Schizosaccharomyces pombe: one gene and its partner. The gene in region 2 interacts genetically with the main gene of each other region. Each region holds a gene or a part of one and is shown on either strand. Other genes may lie near its edges. The genes, in order: ubc15 and gyp1.

Region 1 (11,897 bases), 2.7 Mb from region 2:
TGACTTGCGTTTCCAGTCTTCTGCCATTGGTGCTCTCCAAGAAGCTGTTGAGGCCTATCTTGTCTCTCTATTTGAAGACACTAACTTGTGTGCTATTCACGGAAAGCGTGTAACTATTCAACCCAAGGATATGCAATTGGCTCGTCGTCTTCGCGGTGAACGCTCATAAGCAACTTTACCAAATTGTGGTTGCCATCTGATGGTGTGATTTGGAATCTTTTGGTCGTCTATCCCATTGTAATCCTTCCCTCATTTACTTTGCCTTTCGAAACAAAATTTAACCTTGAGTGTTGTGGAATGTAACAAACGATATGCAAGTCTAATTTTTTGTTTCCGTGAGCTGCACTATCTATTTATATTTTTGTTTTCTTTTTTCGAGTTATACCGCGGACGTTTTTATTTTCGAAATGTATAGAAATTTTTAATTCTCTCTTTACGTCCTGCGCAATTGTGTAAATGAAACGCTGAGGAACTTCATCTGTATTCTTATATGCTATTTAATAGTAAATTAATTTTTAATATCATTATTGAAACACGATAAACTAAGGGTTGACCGTATTTGATTTTTTGTAGTATTTTTAAAAACTCGTATCGATAATTAATTAATTACTCGAAGCTGAACGCAGATTCATTAAATTCGGGGACATCGTCCGGTGTTGGCCGGATATCTTGTCCCATAAGAGTTTTTCCAAGTTTGGGGGAGTCGTGAGTTTTTTCCACTGCAGACTGCTTGTCAGTTACCATATAATCCTCAGTTTCAAGATGAGCAGTTGCAGGATTTTTTTGGAATTTCCAATTACGCAAAAGCCCAAGTGCTATTAGGTCACATCCTAATTGGCAATACACATTAGCATTATGCAAAACAAATCGATATTCAAGACTTTCATCAATTTGCACGTTGCTGGATCTTAAACATTCATATAACAAAATGAAGGCAGGATCATCAGACGGAAACTTATTTCGTACGGGTTCGTTAGTACTATTTCGTTGTGAATCTTTATTTTCGTGAATTTCTTGGTCGTTTTTATCGGATGTATAAAGTTGTATAAAGTCATTATCGCTGACCAGCGAGCGAATGGGAGATACCAAACTTTGCAAGGCCTTTTTTTCCTGTTTTAAAATAGTGAAACTCCAATTGGTGAGCCATCTATCGTTTTGAGATACAGCCAAAGGAAGTACATACTCGTTTATTAGCCTCTTTAAGGTCGGACCATCGTCGCCTTCATAGACTCGAGTCATTGCGATGGCTAATGAAATGCTTTTTAAATTACGGATACATACTTTTGCGGCATCATAGCAACTATCTGCCAAAAGAAAAAATGCAGAAGCATAAAAATATCTGTGCTTGCTTAAAAGTGCAAAAGCATTCTTGGATGCAACCACTTTCCACTTCTTTTTTGAAAAGTCATTCGAAAGCAACTTAACCGTTCGAGCTGATTCCTTATGCCAACTAGCAAGACGCCAAAGATCACGAAATACATTTATTTTGTGTAGAGCAATGTGATATAAACTAACATTCTCTGGGTTCCTATCGTCAATCTCAGCGTAATGATTGCGAGACAGCTCTAAAAATACATCTTTCAGTAGCTGCTCATTTAGCCAAAACGGTATCGCATATTCTTCAACAGCATTCCATAACAATGGTTTTCCATGAAGCTTTTTAGTGTGGTCCAACAGAACAGCTTTGTTAGAGCTATGAAAAGCCCACGCCATCTCTCGGGTGGGCAAGCTTGTTAATTGACGTTGATGTTTTGATAAAACGTACTGGTTTAGCATAATGCAATATCTTTTTCCGTTGAGGTCCAATGAATCTCGCAATGCTCTTGCCTTATTGAATGCCTCGATTAAATTAAGAAGTAAAAACTGAGATGATCGAGTGAGGGTTTTGACTTTCTTTACTTTTAATAATGCAGTCAACTTCTTTATCATTTCATCAATGTATAATCCTAAATGCTTTGAGACACTGGTCTCTTCAAAATCCAATTCCGCAGGATTTAGAATTTCCGCAGAATTTTGGCTGAGACTTTTTATTAAAAGGTCTTTAGAAATTTCTTCGTCACAGCAGTAAAACTCACTGCAGTCCATATTTAAGAGAAAATGCATATCTACATCATCTTTCAAACACAAGTAAAACCTTAGCAAAATATTAGTAAATAGAAAGGGTTGGTTTCTAAGTAAAAGCTGCTGCAACAATTGAGGATGAAAAACTGGTAAAATTCCATTAAGCTGGTATGCAAGATCAAAAATATTTTTTGCGGAACGTTTCAATGATGCAGGGAACAGTAAAGACTGATCTTCGGGAAGTGAATTATCAAAATAAAAAAGTCCGTTACCAATGGCAGTAACTAAAGTCCCATTATCCAACCAAGAAGAGTCAGATATTAATGAATTTGTATATTCTAAAAGATTGTATCTACGAATACGAGACCAACATGGAATATCGTTCATATAAGATCGGCGATTTTGGCACAAAAGAATAACATCATGTAGAAAGCCAACAGCCAAGATAGAATGGGAATTGGGAGTAGAAGTCCAATCCAAGTCATTTATTGGTCCATAATCATCAAAAACAGAGGAAAATTCTTCCTTTTCAGAGAATTCTGAACTACGCGTGTCGAAAATTGAAAGTCGACGATTGTTCTCAGATACAACAGCAACTTTCTTGGATGTTGAGCCTTTGATCATAGTTGCAGATTTGATGCTAGTTTGCACTTTGGAAATTTCCGATATTTCCGCTTTATCGTCTCCCAATACTCTTGCCATCCAAGTCTGTAATAAACCGTCTTTTGATATTGATTGAAATACCTCTTGATCAAATGAAGATAAACTGCTCAAATTTAAAGTAGAAGACCAACCCATGACATCTACAGCCGATGCGATATTTAAATTCTTTGTAAAATTTACCCGATCTATAAACCGAAGTACAGCAGAACCATCATGAGCTTCGTTAGAGACACTCCAAAACCAGGCATGGCCTCCTTCCGTCAAAGCACATAGGGCGGAATTATCGTTGTTTTGAACAGGAAGAATAAAGAAGGTTATTATCGGACTAGTAGGGACTTGACGACATGTACAGAGAAGGGTTGGAGGAATTGCTTCATTGCAATGCCATAATTTTAAAGAATTTAAGTTGAGTACTGCTGCATATTCACCAGCATAAAGAGGTAATATAAAGTCAGATTCTCCAAGTAATAATCTGAACCTGCAAATTAACTGATTTTTCCCGTCTTGCGATATGTATGATTGAAACATACAGATACGATTAACATCTCGGGATACAATTCCATGACCATTAGAGGTTCTTGTTAAGCTTTTTATGGGATAATCATGTCCATAAAAATCGTAACTAACTCTTAACTCAAAGTCACTATAAAAGAAATCGGTAAGACTAAACATGTATTCACGGGCGGAATTTTGAAAAAATAAAATGATGTTATAATCGTAAAATTCGTGTTTTGAGGTCCTGTAAATAGGTATAAATCCGTCAGGTTGAAGAGCGCCTTTGGGAAAGTTCGTTGGAACTTGATTAATAAGCTCAAAAGATGACAAAGTTTCCTGGTCAATTACTAGAGAAAATATGTACAAACATTCAAAAGTAAATAGCAAAAATATATGTGGTTGTCCACTGGCCAAAGCCAGAAGCCTATTTAAAATGCGATCCTTATGCACTTGACCAGAATGGCGACTTATAGCATGTGCTAATGCTATAGTAAAATCGTCCTTATCAATAAAACAGCAGTATGGTGGTTGATCAGATTTGTAGTATTTTCTCAAGTTAAGAAAACAAGAAAGATGCATTAATTGAGAACCAAATCGGCTACCAACTTGCCAAATTCTTAGAACGTTATCATAGCCTACCGTACTCAGGAAGGGAGTCGATCCACTGGCGTCCGGATGAAGGTGTTTAGACCATTGGGAAAACCTTACGCGACAAGGATGAACAAGATAGCTGAAATCATCACATGAGCTAACTGTACCTTGAGGAGATGTTCGCTGCCAAACTTTAGCAAGTGGATTTTTTGTTTCGATAGAAGCTATAAAACAAGCATCGGAAGAAATAGTGCTACTAAGGAATGAATCCGAGATTCTGTTCTGCGACCAAACCAACCTGGGTTTGTCTTCAGAGAAATTTATAAGTTTAGTGTATGACGAAGCACAAAGCAACAGATCAAAATTGTATCCCCAAGATAGTTGAGTAATATCTTCAGAAAGCTGAGTTATATAATTGTAATGATGAGTCCATTTCAAAGAATCGGCGGGCTTATAAATATCCAAAACTTGTCCATGTGCTATTGCTAGAAACCCCGTACGTTGGTCCAAAGCCACTGCACCAATAGACTCTCCAAATTGTATATTTTGATAAGATTCGTAGTTATTTACAATAATTAATACGGTATAGCGAGTTCCAAATGTCTACCATTTAGTTAAACAATTACTTCAATTGGAAACAATACTTTGACATGCTGCTTTCGTTCTGCAGTTTAACCACTAGCAGACAAACGCATATCGTTTGCGTCCATTCACTTACTAATATTCGATTTTGGTTCCATTGTACATTGTCGTAGGCAGCTGTACGTTTTAGAGGTGTACCGGGATTTGTGAATGCCAGAGGCATGTTTACTGCAGAACGCTGTGCATGAGCTAAAATTGGATTTTTTTCGACTTGCAAATAGTTAAGGGAGAAATGACAATGATAAAAGCTATTAATATCTGATTTGACCTAATAGCTGTCTACGTTCCATATACGCATTTGAACCAGTGTGAACACCACCATACTGCGGAATAGCGTAATATTAATTGTCATTCTGAAAAGTTTAAGCATAATGCAATAAAAAAACGCTAAATGAAAAGGCAATGCTTTCACGGTTCTTAATGCAATTTTAATATTCATCTTAAATGGTTACTCTGAGTATTTAATTTTCAAACTCAACGAAGTTTCGCTAGATTCTTTAATTGGTTTGATTAATCATTGAATCAGTCATTCGGATACGTAGGAGACATTGAGCTAGTTAGTGTAAAATATAATAGACTGAGATTTATCGCTGCATTCAATGTATGTTGTGCAAAACGCGGAATTGAAACCGTCGCTGATAAAGTATGAGCGTATAAGCGAAAATAATTACTTGAATAGAAAATTTTCAATGGAAAACTATCAATTCACGAAGTATTAGCTGACGTTTGTTCAAAGAAAAAAATTCAATCGTGAAATGTAGATTTTTATTTGTTGTTTATCTAAATTATGGCTGTAATTGGTAAAGAAGTAGGATAAATCACTTGCGGTTGTAACACTTGAAAAACTTGAAAGCTTTATAATAAAAACAGAAAAGAATCAAAAGCTGTTAGTTTTAAAATGTCAACCGTTCTGCCAATATTTCATTATATGTGATAATAAATGAACAGTTTGCTAAACTTATTCAAAAAATGGGCAACGGCAATACTTCAAAGATGGCATAAAATATGCAATTCAACTTGTAAAGCTACAGACTTTTTGAGTAAGCTTTACTGCTAGTTGACTTAGGAGGTTTTCTATGCAGCGACTTGAATTTCCTTCATAGCCTTTTTTCTAAATATAGGAAATTAGGGACCTAGGTTGAACATTATCTTCAAATCATTTCAATTGACCTGCGAACAAGTCGACGAACTCTTTTCTTAAATTCTTGTGCTGGAAAAAGTTAGTACGATTTGATTATTAAAGAGTAAATTTTTTTGTTTGTAGGTTAGTATATACTCACGATTTTCTCGAAATTCCTTGGCAGCATCTATATTGGCAGGGGACTCATCATTAGGGGAAGAAAGCATGGAAATTACACTAATCAATATGGTTTCCGGAGAGTGTACCGGAAGCCAACGTTCTCCAGCATCCTCGTATCCATACTTGTCATCTCCTGGTGGGTGAAGAATCGATATGCAAACTTCGCCATTCGGATGAACATTAGGGTGCCAAATTTCCGTTGTGAACTGTTACCGTTAGAATCGTTTTTAGGCATAGACTATGTAGTTTCTATCAATTAAAAAATCAATGTATTTACTATACCTTCATCTTTGGAGGCATCAGAGGATAATCCTAATTTTTCGAGGTTAGTGACCAGCTTGTTTACCTTATACAACAAATATTATTTTTCTGTGAAACATAAATACATACTTGAGGAAACGATAATGTTGCATGGAAAAAACCACCTTCATATAATGTATCTTCTGGTCCAATGATCATAACTTCCCATTCAAAAATGGATTTATCATCGACTAAACCAACGCTAAAACCCTGTGGAGGATTTTTTTGAATTTCCTATATCTATCAGTATGTGTTCAAGAATTAAGATACTATGTACAATCATGAATATTTGGATATGAAGATTTCGTGCGCTTACCTTTAGTTGTTTTCGAAGAAGTTGTTCACTAGCAGAAGAAGGCATACTTCCGATATTTTAATAATTACGTTCTAAATATTTGGTAAACTGAGAAAAAGTAATATAAAGACAATTTTTAAAGTAGGGTTGAGCTGAAGGCGAAATACTGGTAGTTGAAAAAGGTTTGGGCGAGCTTCGTAAATATAGTTAGAGTAATATTCCTTTTTTGTATTATTTATGTAACATATAATAAAGCTTTTAACGTAGAAAACATAAATTTAATTTACTCTAAGTAAACATTTTGGTTAAGATTACAATTTTCAAATTTCTTCTATGATATAGTACCTAAGGTTTTATTACACAAAGTAAAACAAACTGTAGTTATATATTGGATGACCGAAAAAAAACGGCATATTCCTATGAAATTATTTGAATATAAAAGAGAGTGTTCTCCAAGTCATTTTGTTGATTAATAAGGTTTGTAACGGAGAAAGCTCAAATTGAACAATAAATAAAGAGGTATGTACAAATGCCTCGAATAATCAATCAATTTTAATGGACGCATAAATTTTGTTAACAAAGAGAAAGGCGCCAAAGAAACCAACCGATCCACATAAGAAAAATACCAAAACAGAAATCAGTAAACTATAGCCGAAATAAAGAACGGCAGTAGCAAGGGAAGATGATGAGATTTTAAAAAACCAGTAAAATACTGAAAATATAAATACATAGATTCCACAAAATCCAGGTGTTATGAAAGAGCGCCACCACCAGTTGTAGTTTTCGGAACACAATTGGAAATAAACAGTGATAATGGAAACCATGATACAAGTGGTTACTAAAATACCGAAGCAAAAGAACGAGAAACCGAACATGAAATACAATGGGTGAAACCATAAACTGTCAAGGATAGAAAACAATTCAATAAGGATTACGAGGAATGGTATAGATCCACCGATAATCGCACTAGGAAAACTCGAAAGCCAAATACTATGAGATGGAATTTGACGAGGGATTTGGTTTGTCCTAACAGGTGGGACGAACTCTCGAGAACGAAAGCCGATTAAAGAACCGACAAAGCTTAATGGTACAGTAAACAATAGATACAGGAAAATGAGTAGAAGCCAGCTTGAAAAGGGTACAGTTGATGATGAACTTTTACTCCAAAATACCATGTTAAAGAAAAGAGCTGCCGCAAGCATAAAACCAGGTACGACAAAAGGAGTTAACAGAAGATTTCGCTTTCTAAGCATACCTTGCATCAGTTTGTAGGATAATGCAGATACATAACCAGAAACGAAACCTGATATAATGAATAAGGCCACCGTTGCTGTAGCTAAACTTCCACGACGAGAGGGTGCAACAATGCCAAAAATTGCAAATAAAACGATACCAGAGCTCATAAAAAGAAGTTGTGCACCAGTCCCTAAAAGGATAGAAAATAGCATGGGTCTACGAGGTGGACGAAATACATCACCATGAACTAGCTTCCAACCAAAATCTTCTTGAACATCTTCTTGATCGACAAAGGCGCTATTATATTTATTAATGTCACGATTTAGCGTTCTGTACAAAATAATAGAAACCACAAAAATTAGAAATGTGTCAATAATTGCGGAATGGATAATAAAGATCCATCGAATTTGCCTAGATTCAATGTGCATATATTTGTCCCATCGGGTAGCCCATGGAGTATCGGAATATTTCCAAGAGACTGAGTAAGAGGTCACGAGAGTAAGATCAGCTCCTTCCGGTAAATACTGTGGATTTGAAGACGAAGAACAAACTGGGTTTCCATCAACTAAAGTAGACTCCTTTGAGACAGGTTTTACATAAGCACCCACAACACGGTGTTGGTCACTAGATGTCGTATGATATTCTATAACTATATCATAATGATTGAATAGAATTACTCCCTTCTCCGTATTCTTGCCTAATGGAAAGCCTGGCGATAATGAGTAGTTCTTTGAGTTAGTCCCTTCTAAATATGTTGCTACGGGCAGATTATCTATGTTCCAGTTAACAACGTAGTTTTTGGAGATTAAATCTCTAATAAAACTGACATCTGAACTGGGAATTATCGAGGCACACAAGGGAACACAATCCTGGTTTTCAAGCATTTTTATTTCAATGGGAGAGTTGTAGAGACGGTCGCCAAAAAGCACACTTCCAAGTGACTCAGATTGTTTTGCGATATTCTCTGGTCGACAGAAGTGGAAACGCTCATCGTAGTCTAAAGTGAAGTTAGTAACAAGCAAAAAAGTTCGAGAGAAAATGTTATATCCTTCATTAAATCATATTTCTATAGTGTTTTCCTAATTTAAAATTGTAAAGTTTTTAAAAAAACACATGAACCTTCATGTGAGCTATCAACCACGTACATTCATAATTAAAGATGTCAGAACCCCGTCCATCTCCAATAAATGGTGAAATGGTATTGACAGTTGTATCAATTGAAGCACCGGGAGGATAGTTTTTCGGACTTAAGGGAGTTAATTGAAAACTAAAACAGGTTTGGAGAAGAACGGAAACGAAAACAACAAAGCTAAATGAACACGAGGGAATACTAGGTAAAAGCATATTTTACTATTTCCCTAATTCTTGGCAAAGACTCGAAACAGAATCTTTTCAAACCGAGATGATTAAGACTAAATCAATATAAAGTGCTACGGTTTTGGGGATTGATGCTGGTAGCATTTAATTTGAGGAATGCTGCTGTACTCTTAGTATGTCTCTTTATTGTGCTATTAACAATCCTCGTATACCGGTTTACGACCTGCTAACTTTCGTTATTCGTATATGAGGTTCAGAACGTGAGAGTTGGAGAACATCGATGTAAGCGAAAACATATCTGTTGAGTTTTCTTGTTATAACTTATTTATCGTTACATAATAATTGAAAGTTTAGTACTAAAAGTTGCGAAGGAACAGGTTGGAATGTCCTTAAATGACTTTCTGCAAACTTTGAGTAACGCTGTTGGAGAGAAAAACTCCAATACGTTGGAGAAATGTATTATTTTAGATCCATCAGAGCCCTCGTTTCAACAGCTCAGTAAAACTCTTTTTTTGGTATGTCGCAGGCTTGCACTACAAGTAATTGTCTTCAGGTTATAACATTAACTAACCGTGATAAAGGATAGAAAGGGGAAAAATAAGTTAAACGGAACCATTCAAAAAGAATTTGGAAGAATAAGAGGTTGGAAGGAATTGGTAACTACCTATTTTGAGTACGTTGAAAATGCTGCATCTTCTCCTGATCAACGAAAATGGGAATTGTTACAAAACTTGTATAGGTAATTAAAAACTTTTTGTTTATTATTTCTCACTTTTGTTTTTCTAGTAACTTGACAACTTGCTTCTCCCATATCGATGGAGCATGGTTGTGTACAATTGTAAAACGCGTTTCAAAGCTTTATGTAAAGCTCTCCCTTCAGCTAGATACATCTACACCTACTTTAGAAGATTCTTTTGATGGTAATGGGTTCATACAGAGGAAATACGTGAGCGATGCATCTAGGAACGTCTTACGAACGTTCAATAGTATACTGAGTGATCGTCAACAAAACATTAACCCTTCGAAGAAGGATGCGATATTCTGTATTGCCAATTTACTTTGTTTACTATATTTTCGCTTAAAGCAAATTCGTCTTTGCCAAACTATTCAAGCTAATGTCATCTCTTCGGGTGCCGATATTTCTCGCGCTACAATGGCGGAATTAGTAACGTTTCGTTATTATTTAGGAAGGTGTCATCTTTATCAACGCAAAATTCATCAGGCAAAGGACCATCTACTTTTTTCGTTTCTTCAGTGCCCTGATGAGTGTTATCATCAAAAAAGGTATGTTTTATTTTACTCAAAAATAGGATTCGTTTATATTTACTAATCAAAAAAGGCTTTCTCTAATCTATCTTACAACGTGTTTACTTATATTAGGAAAATCGCCAACAAAAGGGCTATTAGAAAAATACAAATTGACTGCAGCATTCGAACCTTTAATAAAAGCTTTGAAAAGTGGTGATATCAAGTCGTTCAGATTATCTTTGGAGGACAATTCCAGGAGGAAATGGTTTATCAAACGAGGAATATATCTAACTTTATTGGATAGATGTGAAATCATCCTGTGGAGGAATTTATTTAGAAAGGTGTACGTTTGAGATTTTTTAAAATATTCGACTAATTTAAAAAGGTTTCTTTTTACTTTTGAGCAAAGCCAAAAAACCCCGCACGTATCTGGTTCTTACTTGTTAACCGCGGCCCGTTTAAGTACAAATGATAACTCATATGACATGGACGATGTCGAATGTATCTGTGTTTCTCTAATTGACCAAGGATATATTAAAGGTTATATCATTCATGCATCATCAACTTTAGTCCTTAAAAAAGACCCATCGTTCGGTTTTTCTGTAATAGAGAGCCTTATGCCCATAGCAAGGAATGATCACGCAGAAAAGGAATTTTTTCATGCTAACGCATAATTAAATGAACTCAGAAAACGTAGATTGTTCGAAAATTATACTTAAAATTAATTAAATTTGAATTGACAAATGTTAAGCAAGGAACAGTGTTCAATCATCTTGCTTTGCGAAGTCTGAAAGCTAAATAAATACAGTCTAAACGGCAAAGCGTAATTTTATTCATTTTTAAAACAAAAGGGTATTTGGTCAAAGCAAAAAACTCTATAATTAGAAAAGTAAAATACCAGATATCACTTGACAAATAACACAATTTAGAATCAAAAATCTTCTTCCATTTCTGGATCAAAAAGATCAAATCCTGCAAAGACATCCTTATTAGCTGGCGATTCTACTTCTTTATTTTCCTCTTGCGTAGTGAATGTTGGAGAGGCAGGATAATTCATTTTAGTTTTTTCTTCAACGGCTTTGTTCGCATCAATTTCTGTTTCTGTTTCCGTTGGCTCGTTCGTCTTTGGAGGCTGTTCAGAAAATAATTGGGACGCTGTAGCCGATAAATTTGGAACCATGCTAGTTGAAAACTGAAACAACAGAGTTTTTCGCATCTGGTCCTCCGATGGCCAAGGATAATGCACAGGAGCTTTTGCATCTTGACCCGTCTCGGGATTGTACCCAGGAGGTGCAGAGGAAAACTTGGAAAGTTTTCTACCATAATCAAGGAGTGTTTCAGCATTAACTTTTTGTCGTTTTCTCCCCGACACTGTTTTTGGAAGATGGGTATCATAAATTGAGGTCATTTCTCTCATGCAGTCTTGAATTTGTAAATCCAGTTCCTTATCCTGCTTCAGCAAAGAACTAATTTCATTTTGTAATTCTCTACCATTTGTGTAATTTGATATTAAAGAGTGTAAGGTTTTCAAGTGGCCTACTAATGAGGTCCAGTTTTCTATTAGTACATATTGGTCAACCTTTTCGGATGACAGTCTTAACTGTTTATTGAGACATTCTTCAATAGAATCAATGGCTCTTTGATATTCCATTGGGGAGCATATGTGATTACTATATACTAACTACTCAACAATTGCTCGATCATCTAGTAGGTCAGGTTACAGTTATTTTGCAGACTCGACTTTTTACT
Region 2 (13,114 bases):
AATTTTCACTTTAGTAAGCTATACAAAGCTTATGGTGATATATATGTAATCGATCTTTTACAAACAAAAGGCTTTGAAGCTTCGCTATATGAAGCTTACAAGCATCACCTTATGCTTCTACCTTTTCCTGCCGTTGTCAAGAAATTCCACTTTACACCTGATCCTGCTCGTCCTGACATTGATCCACGATTAGAGACCGATTTGGCCGACGATTTAAAAGAGATGGGCTATACTCAAAAGTCTATTGAAAATGACATGTTGGAATCTTTCCAAAAAGGAGTGTTTCGGATTAATGATTTGGATTGTCTGGGACGCACAAACGTTATTCAGTATCAAATATCTCGATTAGTATTAAAGGATATATTTTTTAACCTTCAAATAGGAGTAACTTTCAATATTCTTGAATACCTAAGACATCTCTGGTCTAATAACGGTGATGCTATTGCGAAACTAATTACAGGGGTTGGCTCCATTGGTTCAAGCGCTACCCGTAGAGGTCGTAAATCTATTGCGGGATCTTTAAGTGATATATCCAAATCTTTTGGCCGCATGTATGTTGGAAGATATCCAGACGTAGAATCTCAAAATGCCATTTTATTGCTGTTGGGATGTTTTCCGAATCAAAGTCCCGTACTCATATCTGAATCCGTGTCTTCTTACATCCAAGGTGTGCTAAGACAACGTCGTTCTGAATATAGAGTCGAAAGGGATTTTAGCATATTTTCGTCGACATTTAATGCAAATGGTAAAGTACCCAGCACTGATGAATTTAAAAGGCTGTTACTTCCATTTGGCGAAAGAACTTCCGCTTATGATCTTTACGTTGTAGCGGTTCAAGAGATAATTACCTTGAACATGAGTCATCTTGTTAGTTCAAGCAATCAGAAACTTAGGATTTGGGAAGAGAAAATACTTATGATTCTCAATTCTCGAGATTCTAATAATAAGTATATGTTAATTAGCTCTATTCAAATGGCAGGTGTTTTCCTTGGTGTATTTATACGGAAGGATGATCATCTTGTTGTTTCAAAAGTTACCAAAACAACTCGAAAGACAGGCTTTGGCGGGTTTTCTGCCAATAAGGGTGCCGTTGCAATTGAAATGAATGTTTGCGACTCGGATTTTTGTTTTGTTTCTTCACATTTCGCTCCTAAGGTTAATAATATTTCGGAGCGCAACATGGAGTATACAAGTATATCTGATAACCTTGTTTTTCCATCTGGAATGAAAATTTATGATCATACGTATGTGACGATAAGTATTTAAAAAATCATTACTGACAAACATAGGAACATTTTATGGATGGGTGATTTTAATTATCGTATAGATTCTGATAACGAAGAAGTTCGAAAACTTGTTGAACTGGACGACTTAGACAAGTTGGCTTCATATGATCAGTTATGCACAGAAATGAAGAAAGGCACCGTGTTTCATGGTTTAGTTGAACCACAGTTAACATTTCTTCCTACTTACAAATTTGATAATGGAACCAATGATTATGACACTTCGTACGTTTACCATAAACCAAATCCACACTGTTAACATGGCTATAGAGATAAACAGAGAGTGCCTTCATGGACAGATCGAATCTTGGCCACAAAAAGTGTAAGTTGTAGATATATTTCAATGTAGTGTACCTCTAACCGAAACTTTAGTTTACTAGGAATTGCTATAAATCTTGTGACATTAGATGTTCCGATCATCGTCCTGTATTCGCTACTTTCAGCCTTAAAATATTCAGTACTTGTATGGACAAGAAAGCCGGAATCATAAGAGACGCAAGGATTGCTTATATTAAAAGCAAAAATAGTAATAAATAGTCGTTAACGATTATTTATGATCTACGCCTCCCTTTGCTGAAATTTCGTATTTCCAACTATTTAAAGTGCACATTTAATCTATCTATTTATTTTTAATTTTTGTTTTAAAATAATATATTTTTTTGATGTTTCCTTCGTATTATTAACATATTAAAGAGAGAAAAGCATTCAAACTATATAACCAAAAAACAGGCATAACTTAAAAAAAGGGGTAATAAAAGCAAAAATATGATCGTAAACCCAATCTAAATAAAATCTACAACTAAATCATGAAAAGCCTCGTGAATTGAATAAATTTGGTATTCACAAGGAAGTAATAAATGAACCTGGATTGAATAAATTCTCGCTGACTCTTTCCAAGCACACCTAAGACAAAGTGTAACCGAAGAAAATATTTAATGAAGTTCCATGAAAAATAATAATGGGGGAGGAAGAAATAATATGTTCACAGTTTAACCATGACATGTGATGAGGGGCATATATTTTTATCAATTCAGCTCAATAACAAATTTATCAAAACAACCGAGAAAATTTGCCAGTGTTCTTACTTTGAGATGCAAATAAAGGATGAATCAAAGCTTAAGGATAAACAGATATAGTCTCGTTCACAGCTCCATGCCGAAAAGAGCATGATCGCTACAATTGAGATGTGGGAGAGGCTCAAAACCCACCCAATGTAAGCTTTTTACTAAATAAGGGAGAGAACTGTTATTTTTATCAACGAATAATACCAGCTTCGAGCAGTGAAGCCGATCCACGGCTAAGTCTATGATGGCAACTAATCCTTCTTTCAAATGAACGTCTTCCCAACTTTCAGGTATTAAAAATAGAGTCTTCGATCCATCCTCTTCAGTCCGAACTATCCCATGCCAATAGTTCATGGATTCTGCAACACCGATCCTTTCATCACAATCATATTTTCCTCTATGTCTTGAATTGCCTTCCTCTTCATTTACCGTCTGTTCCTTCAGTATGCCGGAGGGCTTAGGCAAACACGTTCGAAAACTGTCACTAATCCAACGTGGAACATGGCGACGCCTCTGCTGCTTAAAGGCAGCACGAGGTCTTGAGCGCTCAAGCGCCTCAGGAGCACCATTCCGCGCCCCCTGCCGGCGTAGAGCCATAAACAAACATTTGATCCTTCGTGGTACATAAAGCTAACGTGTTGCGTCGGCGTCCATGTGTATGATTTTGCCCTCGTGGGTTTGGTGCAAAGTGAGAATTTAAAATATCGGCGTCAGCATCATCCACATTTGACAATTGGTACATTCGATTCCTAAACGCCATATTCTAAGATATTTCTTACTTAAACTTTGGCGTATGATGCTTGGATTTGGGGATTGATTTAAAAAAAACCAATAATGAAAACTTGTTTTGTTGTATGTTCTTGCAGACTCCGTAAGTAGGTATGTGAATAAATTGCTTAGATAGTAGAACAAGTTAGAGTGCACAAAATATATATACGGTAAATGTGATTACAATTCCTATAGGTGAACAGCGCTACAATACGTTATAAATCACTATTTGGATTCTTTATCTAGAGCCGTTTCTACGGATATAGATAAATAGTTATCTAAGAAAGGTCGTTTTTCCAATCTGAATCCTTAAAAATTAAATTTTAAAGGAATTTACGCCCCTTAAGCTGATTGTGAGATGCCCAAACACTGGCATGATTAAACCATTAAAAAAAATACTACACATTGTTTATTATTATATTCCTGTCTATATCAATATTGTACTTCACAATTAAATTGCCCGTTTAAAGTATCCTTAAGACATTTACAGAGTATGTACCTTGTATGGTATAGTGTTTAGCAGACGGCTTAGATAGCGCTATTTGATATCCATCTTTTATCAAATAGAACAAAAATAATTTTTTTTAGGAGTAAAGGAGTTGGCATTTTAAATTTATGTTTTTTTACTTAAGTTTCCATATTAAATACGTTGAAGACTATAACTACAAGCAATCAAAGTAGCTGTTTAAACATGCTCTTTAAGAACTTTATATAATTATAACGCCATTTTAATTTAGTACTATCAACTGCTTTGATTATCTTATTTTTCAACCTATATAGAAACGTTGCCTTATAAATACCTGCTTAATGCAATATTTCGATTTTACGTGTTTGACACGTACATGAGTAAAAACATATATTTCTTTTCCTTAATTTTTTAAACTGTAGGATCGTAAATTGCAATATCATGTCTCGAACCCGTATGCTTAATGAAAAAGATGCGGAATGGATCTTTCATATATATTTTAGGAAATGACCCTTCATAAGATTCAAATTTGCAAGATAGAAAGAATAGCACATATACATATTTCATTGCGATTATACTAAACAATTCCTTTGTAATAAAGCAATTAAATTTTAGCAATTAAAAAGCTCTTTTGACATATACTCCTAGGAAGCCATTGTGTATGTAAATGAAGAACAGAAATGCTAAACGATTGAGAGCTCTTGCTAACTTCAACTAATTGTGATCAATTAATCCTTCTTTTTCTTATCTTTAGGACCTTCTTTTTGAGAGGAGCTAGTAACTTCTTGCTTCGTACGTTTCCGTTTTACTAATCCACCTAAATCATTGGCATTTTTCACAGCTTCAGCAACAGCTTGAGCGAGACTGCTGCTATCCTTAGATAATAAGGATGACTCATGCATCTTTGACATAACAGCTTCTTCCAAACTTGGCGCGCCATGCTTTAAATCAAGCGTCTTTTGTTCAAGTTCCGATAGCATTTCGCGCAAATTCTCAAGATCGCTAGTTAACGTGCTTTCCTCAGCCTTTTGCTTTCCTTTCCCTTTCTTATCCGTAACTTCATTTTCCCGCTCATTTAAGACATTTTTTAAGATTTCTGCAGCCTTTTCCACATGTTCACAAGCGCGGGACTTGTTAGAGGGATCTTCTGGATTGGTAAACTCAAGTGCTAGTGCAAGCTTATAGTGGGCTTCACTTAAAAGTGTATTATTTGAAACGTTGTAAACCTTTTCTTTCCACTCAAGGGCCGTTTTTAAATCCTGAGAAGCCTGAGAAAAGTTTTCAATTTCGAGAGAAAGTTCTCCCAATAAATCGTAAATATCCGCCAGTCTTATCTTTTCATCCTTACTGTCAGGATAAGCATCTACTGCTTTTGACTGCATGACTCTTGTTAGATCTAGCACCTCCCAAGCAACGTTAAAATCGTCTTCATCTTCTTCAGAAGCTGGAGATGCTTCGTTTGTTTCTTTTTCTTCACTTTCCTTCTCTGGATGTGCTATTGATGAATTTTCTTCATTGACGGTATATTTATTTTCAATTTTTTGACCAGAAAATGTGAACGAGCCAATAGCTTCTGGTTCTTCAAAACTTTCGGTTGCTTGAGACACAGACTCCTTGGCACCCAACGCATTTCCCAGGACTTGACTATTTTCAATAGCTATTTGAAACAGAGATTTTCCATACAGCCAAAGAACATTTCTATTCTCCAAACTTTCAGAACCATGAATGGACTCTGACTGCATGAGCGCTTGACCATACTTATCAACGGCTTCCTCATAATTTTTTTGAGCATAAGCCATATTACCTTGAGTGACTAGTTGCTCAATTGCTCGCGAATCCGAAGAAGAAGGGTTTTTGGTATCAGCATCTGTAGCACTATTGCCTTTGCTATTTTCCAGTGTTTTCGTATCAGAAGACATTTTTCGCGTAACTTTTAAAAATTATGAAGTTCAAGACTTCAAGTAATAGGTACGACAATTAGATATTACGCTAGGTCTACCAAAGTGACCCAACAGACTGAATAGTGAAAAAGAAAAAACGACTCGATAATTCACTTTTTTAGATTAGAAATATTAATAAAAATATATTCTGGCTTTTTCTCCTAATAGATAATGAGTTAAAACCACTCTGTTTTGTTCTTAATAAGTAGAGGTGAGCCTTTGCAGATGTATGAATCTATTAGCATTGGCAAGTAATGGGAGTAAGATGAAGCGTATATAGGCGAGCGTTTGATGGCATAACAAGAGCAACAAATTGAACTTATTTGTTTTCCTTTGTTAATAACTCTATTTTAACGATGTATAGGATTCGTTCTGACAGCTTCATTTTTATTCCAGCAAAGCGAAGCAAAACGGATCATTCGCTTCGTGCCAAAACAATGTTGTTTTATGGATTAAAAGATGATCTTCTTAAAGCAGCCATGGCTAAGCATTCATAATACGTGATAGATCATGTTATAGACTTCATCTTTGTAGATCATATAAATGCTTAAGTGTTGAGTCAATGACACATAGACTGTACTTGTCTATTTAATTTGTCTAACGTATTACATTCATAAAAAGCGCGTAAACGTGTTGAGTCTTATAGAAGTTGTTATGACTAGCAATTCAAGAACAAGTCTGATTCATAACATTATTTAACATTTCTTTATTCCATTTCATTTTATTCTTTCTCTATGTTAAAATTCTTGACTTTGCAATATAAACAGACAAATATGCACCAAGTAGCTTGTACAAATAGCTCCTAAACGATCTTTGAATGCATGAAGATAATATTCTATATACCAAGGATTTGAATACTTCACGATCTTACTGTATGAATATATAAACAATAAATAGAAAATTTCTAGTGAATCGACAGTACTCTGACTGATTATTAATTTTTTCTTTAAAATGTTTAAATATTCTACTTTAAACGTCTACGGCCATACCTAGGCGAAAACACCAGTTCCCGTCCGATCACTGCAGTTAAGCGTCTGAGGGCCTCGTTAGTACTATGGTTGGAGACAACATGGGAATCCGGGGTGCTGTAGGCTTCCTTTTATTCTTTTTGCTTTTTGTTTGAGCTCATTTGGGAATAATAATCATTTACCTTGATTCGTACTTATTCATTTCAATACCTTTGCACATAATATTATTGTGTACTATGAATGATATTTTGGCAACCAGGAAATCTTCTTACAAGTCGTAATACGACTTAAAGGGAAGATGTATGGTTTATTTTATTGTCATACAGTAACCTTTATTATTGGATTGGAGTTGTAGTTTCGATTTCATCACAATGAATAACGATACTCTAGAGTGTTTTCCAAGATGTAAACGAGAGAAGGAAAGTGTTTTTTGGATGATTATTAAACTTACTATAATTTTTGATTGTTCTCAATATAAAATTTATCTTAGTACATATTTATTTTGTTCTCATGTCAGTTTTGGAGAACATACATTACAATTTCTTGACAAGACAACATTTGGAAAATTGCTCTGTTCATTAAAACATTGAAAACCGTATATGTTTTTTAAATCATTCCTCTTCAATGCATTTGTTGAAGTAATTTTACTGAATCAAAGATATAAATACATGTTTGAAAACAAATACCCGAAACTGCTAAAAAAAAGACTGGGATTGAAAGTTAGACTAGATTCGTTGATCATCTACTTGAAAAATGTGTTTTGTTAGAAATATATAGGAACAGGAAAATCTTAGACTGTATTTCAGGAAAATTTAAACTTAGTAGGTATTAAAATGCTTATAATTCATCGTATTATATTAGGTAACTAGGATGTCAATACGAAAAATAACAATAAAATCAGAGATTCATTATTGACAGGAAATACTTTTTTACGTTTCTTAATCAACGTTTATACTTTTCTCTTTTTTGTTTTGAAAAGCGACTAGTCACAATTGTCAAAATTACATTGTTCACTTTTACTGGCAGCAACTTAAGTAAAGAAGAGATAGAACTCATAGATATAAACATTGTTAAATGAGACCTAGCTGTGTATCTTTTACTACTCTGCGCATATAAACCCAACATTCCCAAGCAATAAGACCATGCACGGCCAAAATCCTTCTATCAACTGTTCATGGCTTAAAACGAATTTCCTTTAACTAAAAAGTGAGATAAATAATTAAAGTATTAAACCTTGCTCCTTTTATTAAAAAAACCTCATATATAAGAAACTCCATACACCTACTGTTTTCCTCCCTATTGTTTTGTTCTTCCACCAAATAAGGGCAACTGCCTTGGCAACTGCACAGACCGAGTAAATCTTCACAATTTCGTTGATATTCGGTTAAAATTTGTAAATATACTAGTGTATTGGATTGTATCTAAGGTTTTCTCGAAACATTTGTTCGTGTTCAAATTCCGCGCTGTTCTAATAGATCACAAGATCTCGAGCTGGTGCGTTTTCGTTTGGATGGAACCCACAGACACGGCTTTGCTTCTAATAGCTTAAGTTTTTTTTTTTTGAAAATAGTTTTCATTTGATAAGAAAAGAATAAGACTTCAAGTCCGGTAAGTCTATGAGTGGTGCCTAAGATCCTTCGTCGTTAAACATTTGAAGTTATTGCCTTCTAAAACGTTTCATCTACTTTTTACAGCAAATTTTGAAACTGTTTTTTGCATCTTAACCAAAAGTATTTTATTTTGGCGATAAATTCAAAGAGTATCTGTTATTTGCTAAATTTGTTGTGTCCATCAAGGCTATCAAATTACTGCTTCATTTTGTAAAAACAATTTTTCTTCTCGTATTTTAAGATTTTCCACTATGGAATCTCAGTCAAAAAAGTCGTCCGCCTTAAAAACTCTCTCCAGCTTATGGAATGGATCCTCTAGCGCCACTTCGGATCCAGTTACTGTTTTGGATCGAAGCCGGACCCATCACCATCGTGGTCGAAGCACTTCTTCCAAAGCTCAACCGTTCAGATTGGACGACTCTGTTTACTCAGATCAACCCCCAAAAGATCATATCTCTTTGGCCCGGTCCATAACTAGACCCGAATCTGCTAGTGAGTCTAAAATCTATGCACCTTCTGCGAGATCTTCTCTTTCCTTGGAAGCTGTTGTAGGCAAAAAAGTGTCTGCAAAGTTTGCCAAATATTTGTCACAGACAGATGACGATTGGGGAGTTTCGAATATTAAAGCCTCAAAATCTCTTCCTCGTATGGCTCGAAGTACTACTCCAAATTCTTCAAGCCGCTCCTTATTTCCTCAAAATGGCGTGGATACTACCACTTCTAGACAAAAGCTTCATTCGTCTGGTCGTTTTCCTTTACCCGCTAAACTAGCCCATCGTTCTGTAGAAGTTGAGGTTGCTGAAAGCAATGCGCTTGTCTCTCGGATCAAGAAGTTTTCGCGAATTCTTGATGCTCCAATTGTGGATTTAAATGCGCTTCGTACATTGGCTTGGAATGGAATTCCCTCCGAACATAGACCTATTGTCTGGAAATACTTGTTAGGATATTTACCTTGTAATGCTTCTCGTCGTGAAGTCACTTTAAAGCGAAAGAGAGACGAATATAACGCAGCAAAAGATTCCTGCTTTAATACAAATACAGAGCCACCACCTTTGGATCAAACTATTTGGCGACAAATTGTCCTTGACGTTCCGAGGACGAACCCCTCTATTCTTCTTTACCAAAACCCATTGACGCAGCGTATGCTTGAGCGTATTTTATATGTTTGGGCCTCACGGCACCCAGCCAGCGGATATGTACAAGGCATCAGCGATTTAGTTACTCCTTTTATTCAGGTGTTTTTGTCCGAATATATCGGCGATAAGGACCCAATGACATATGACATTGCTCTTCTTGATGAAACTAATCGTAATGATATTGAGGCTGATGCTTACTGGTGTCTTTCTAAATTGTTAGATGGTATCCAAGATAACTATATACATGCACAGCCTGGAATCCGTCGACAGGTGAATAATCTGCGAGAGCTTACTTTACGTATAGATGAGCCATTAGTAAAACATCTTCAAATGGAGGGTGTTGATTTCCTTCAGTTTAGTTTTCGCTGGATGAACTGTCTTTTAATGCGCGAGCTTAGTATTTCGAATATCATTCGGATGTGGGATACATACATGGCGGAAGGTGTCCAAGGATTTTCTGAGTTTCACCTCTACGTATGTGCTGCATTTTTAGTGAAATGGTCGAGTGAATTACAAAAGATGGAATTTCAGGATATATTAATTTTTCTGCAGTCTATTCCGACAAAAGATTGGAGCACAAAGGATATCGAAATTTTACTATCTGAAGCTTTCCTATGGAAATCATTGTACAGTGGAGCTGGTGCACATTTGAAAAGGTAAGGCATAGTAGCCATTTCGTTTTCCCTTTTCAGAGCATTCGTCTTCTTCCTTAATCCCTTGCTTATTTTGGCATAGCAGCCTTTTTCAAATGCCATCCTTCCTATGCATTTTTATAATTAGGTTGACAAATCTCCTTCGTTAATTCATTGTGTTGCTTTTCTATGTTTATGAGCTTATGAGTCTAAGTCTTACTTCTTCTAATAAATTTTCCTTTCATTCACCTAAATAACTTTTCAAGTTTGCTCCTTAACTCAGCTGGATTGAGTTTGCGACTTTTAGAATTTATCATGCAGGATAAAGTATTTCTCTTGAAGAAAGTCTGAACTACCTTAATCATTTTTGGGAAGTTATTAACCCTTGAATTAAATTGTATATTCACTATTACTTATATGTAATTTGTCTTTACTCTTACGTTCGACCGTTCTCTAACCCTTTTCCAGTTTGACTTACGTTACTACTTTACTATTCAACGATTGTTTAGTCCATGGCGTGATACTTTACATGAATCGTTATTAATATCATTTTTTTTTCTCTTCTATGCTAGTCATGTTTTCTTTGGTTTTATCCAAGATTGTACATTACGATTTCAAAGTACGACTTTTGTATTGGTAAGAGATGATGAAAATCGACAAGACTGTACTACATGGTCTGTGTCTTCTTCCTTGATTCGACCAAAATGTATGGATGAATTAGAGTAGATAATGAAAACGCTGTGACAATTTTTGAATATTTATACAACTTAATACAGTTTTTGAACTGAAATAAAGAAGCACGTTCCATTGCGTTATAGAATCATTGTATTACTTTTCATGAAGAAGAAATCATTTATTTATAACTATAGGATCAATTTCTTATCTTTTAAATTTCAATACTCATAGCTTTTTCATGCTGATTTTGCAACTGCTTACCACAACAGCATTTGCAGTGACTGTTTTTCAAACTATATTTACTATATAAGGGAGACTTTGCCTATTACCTCTACGTCTGGCTTAGGAGCGCAAATTAAGCGATAAGAAAGAAATGGATCTGTATCTTTTAGCAAGCGGCAGAAAGTTTGGGGTTGTAAAGTCTGACTGTATATCCAATAACGGAGTAAATGTGAAGGATGTTGGAAATGCATTGAATGAAGGTGTTGTTGGTGCTATTGACGCTACCCGTAAAATGGTGGTTTCATTAGGAACAGTAATGCCTGAAATTCAAAAATGCGGTGTTACTTTTGAAGAGAGCTCCGAGGATGTAAGTGATTTTTATTTAGTAAGATGGGATAGCATTGATGATCCCTTAAATCCCAAAAATTGGCCAATGTGGAAGAAATGGATTGTTGTAGTTCAAATATCCTTAATAGCATTTGTGGTAACTTTTGGATCGAGCGTATACTCTTCAGGTATCGGTAATGTTTCAATGGACTTTGGGGTATCGATTTCTGTTTCTTCTTTAGGCTCTTGTGTCTTCTTGGTTGGCTTCGGGTTTGGATCGTTACCATTTGCTCCTCTCAGTGGTATCTATGGAAGATTTGTTGTTTATTTTTGTACGTTGTTGATGTTTACCCTATTTCAAATTGGTGGAGGTTGCGCACAAAATATATGGACATTGGTTATTTTACGTTTTTTTCAAGGATTTTTCGGTAGTACGCCTTTATCAAATTGCGGTGGTACTCTAAGTGATTTATTTACTCCCATACAAAGAACGTATGTACTTCCTGGCTTTTGCACCTTCCCTTTTCTTGGCCCCATTTTTGGACCCATCATTGGTGATTTTATTTGTCAGAGCTACTTGGGTTGGTGTTGGGTGTTTTGGATAAATATGATCATGGGAGCCGTGGTAATTGTCATTATTTTTTTCTTCATGCCGGAAACTCATGGGGATACCATTTTAGACTATAAAGCTCGGTATCTGCGTAATAAGACCAGAAATATGAAATGGCATACCATTCACGAAAGACAGCGGAATCCAAGGAGTGCAATATATCAAGCTTGTACTGATTCTGTCTCTTTATTGATTACCGAACCTATTGTAGTCTGCTTTACACTTTATCTGACTGTCGTGTACATCATTGGTTATATTGACTTTGAAGGCTACCCTATAGTATTTGCCAAGTACTCTTTCGATCAGGGAGAAATTGGTTTATCGTTTATTGGAATTGGAATAGGTATTGTTTTAGCAGGTGCCTGCACGCCCATCATCTACGTACACTACAATCGAGTTTATACAAGAAGGAATGGGGTTATGTCTCCAGAAGACCGTCTATACCCTCTTTTCTTTGGATCCATAATGCTACCGATTTCCATGTTTTGGTTTGCATGGACCTGTTACCCATACCATCCTTACGTGCATTGGATAGTTCCATTGATATCAAGTATCTTCTTTGGCTGGTCGCTTTTGTTTGTATTTTTTGTTTCCTATAATTACATAATTGATTCCTATCAAAAACTGGCTGCAAGTGCTTTAGCTGCTGCTACGCTTGTCCGTTATGCAGCTAGTGGAGGAATGAGTCTAGTAGGCAGGCCCATGTATGTGAATTTAGGAGACCATTGGGCAACTAGTTTACTTGGTTTTATTTCAGTAGGAATGATTCCTATACCGTTTTTATTTTTTATATATGGAAAAAAAATTCGTGGTTTGAGTAAACACGCATACAAGTTGTGAGTACTACTATTCACAACCATTAGTACAATAGATTTCGCAGCTTTAGGATAATTGTGCCTTGGTTTGCTTGATACATTTTAAGCAATTGAATTAAGTAATTAAATAAACGATACCCAAATCGGTCAGAAGTCAATATGAACAAGCCATAACAGGGTGTTATTCTAGTTTTTATAGTAAATGAGAGTTATACTGATAGATAGATCGAAATCAAAAATCAACCAATCCATCTTGTTTATATGTTATTCTTTACAGTTAACATCTTTTATTAACACAATAGACACAGGCGTATAAAGATATGAAAATGGATGTGAGTAAAAAGGTAATATAAGGATGAAAGAATGAAATGGGCGTAGAATTGATATAATAATTTTCGTGCGGGATGGATTTGTGCAACATAAACGACAAAAAGGTCGAATTATTCTTGATTACCAGCTATTTAGAAATGAAAAGTGTAAGCAAAAGAAATAAAACTGTTTGTAAAGTATTTTCTTCTCTTCACTGTCATAAGCTAGCCAGAAAGCTAAAATTTTAATAACTTATGAGGAACCGAAAATAAATCGTAAAGCCATAAAA

What was found.
Region 1: of gyp1 (region 2) and ubc15, changing one suppresses a phenotype caused by changing the other (phenotypic suppression), as found in Schizosaccharomyces pombe (2 studies listed by BioGRID, with this or other methods).

The regions. Positions count from the first base shown.
Region 1 is NC_003423.3:3,517,391-3,529,287, reverse strand, and holds ubc15 (ubiquitin-conjugating enzyme Ubc15), read right to left. Parts: upstream 6,519-11,897; 5' UTR 6,414-6,518; coding exon 6,369-6,413; exon of another isoform or gene 6,287-6,368; coding exon 6,143-6,286; exon of another isoform or gene 6,140-6,142; intron 6,065-6,139; coding exon 6,035-6,064; intron 6,018-6,034; exon of another isoform or gene 5,959-6,017; coding exon 5,733-5,958; exon of another isoform or gene 5,663-5,732; coding exon 5,604-5,662; 3' UTR 5,143-5,603; downstream 1-5,142. Other genes in the region: hht3 (histone H3 h3.3), read left to right, coding at 1-169; RAVE complex subunit Rav1, read right to left, coding at 607-4,413, 4,529-4,615; EMP70 family endosomal transport protein Emp70, read right to left, coding at 6,890-8,580, 8,729-8,927; TREX/TREX2 complex subunit Pci2, read left to right, coding at 9,284-9,415, 9,482-9,639, 9,687-10,184, 10,240-10,491, 10,534-10,822; pmc4 (mediator complex subunit Med4), read right to left, coding at 11,080-11,799. UniProt on the Schizosaccharomyces pombe protein: Catalyzes the covalent attachment of ubiquitin to other proteins. Has a role in the formation of chromatin structures that influence the localization of transcriptional silencing factors.
Region 2 is NC_003423.3:776,763-789,876, forward strand, and holds gyp1 (GTPase-activating protein Gyp1), read left to right. Parts: upstream 1-7,803; 5' UTR 7,804-8,350; coding exon 8,351-9,895; 3' UTR 9,896-10,383; downstream 10,384-13,114. Other genes in the region: syj2 (inositol-1,4,5-trisphosphate 5-phosphatase 2), read left to right, coding at 1-1,244, 1,290-1,508, 1,554-1,605, 1,656-1,820; CENP-A chaperone, NASP family, Sim3, read right to left, coding at 4,310-5,500; SPOM_SPBC530.02 (transporter), read left to right, coding at 10,916-12,541; protein ksh1, read right to left, coding at 13,078-13,114. UniProt on the Schizosaccharomyces pombe protein: Stimulates specifically the GTPase activity of ypt1. Functions on the Golgi as a negative regulator of ypt1.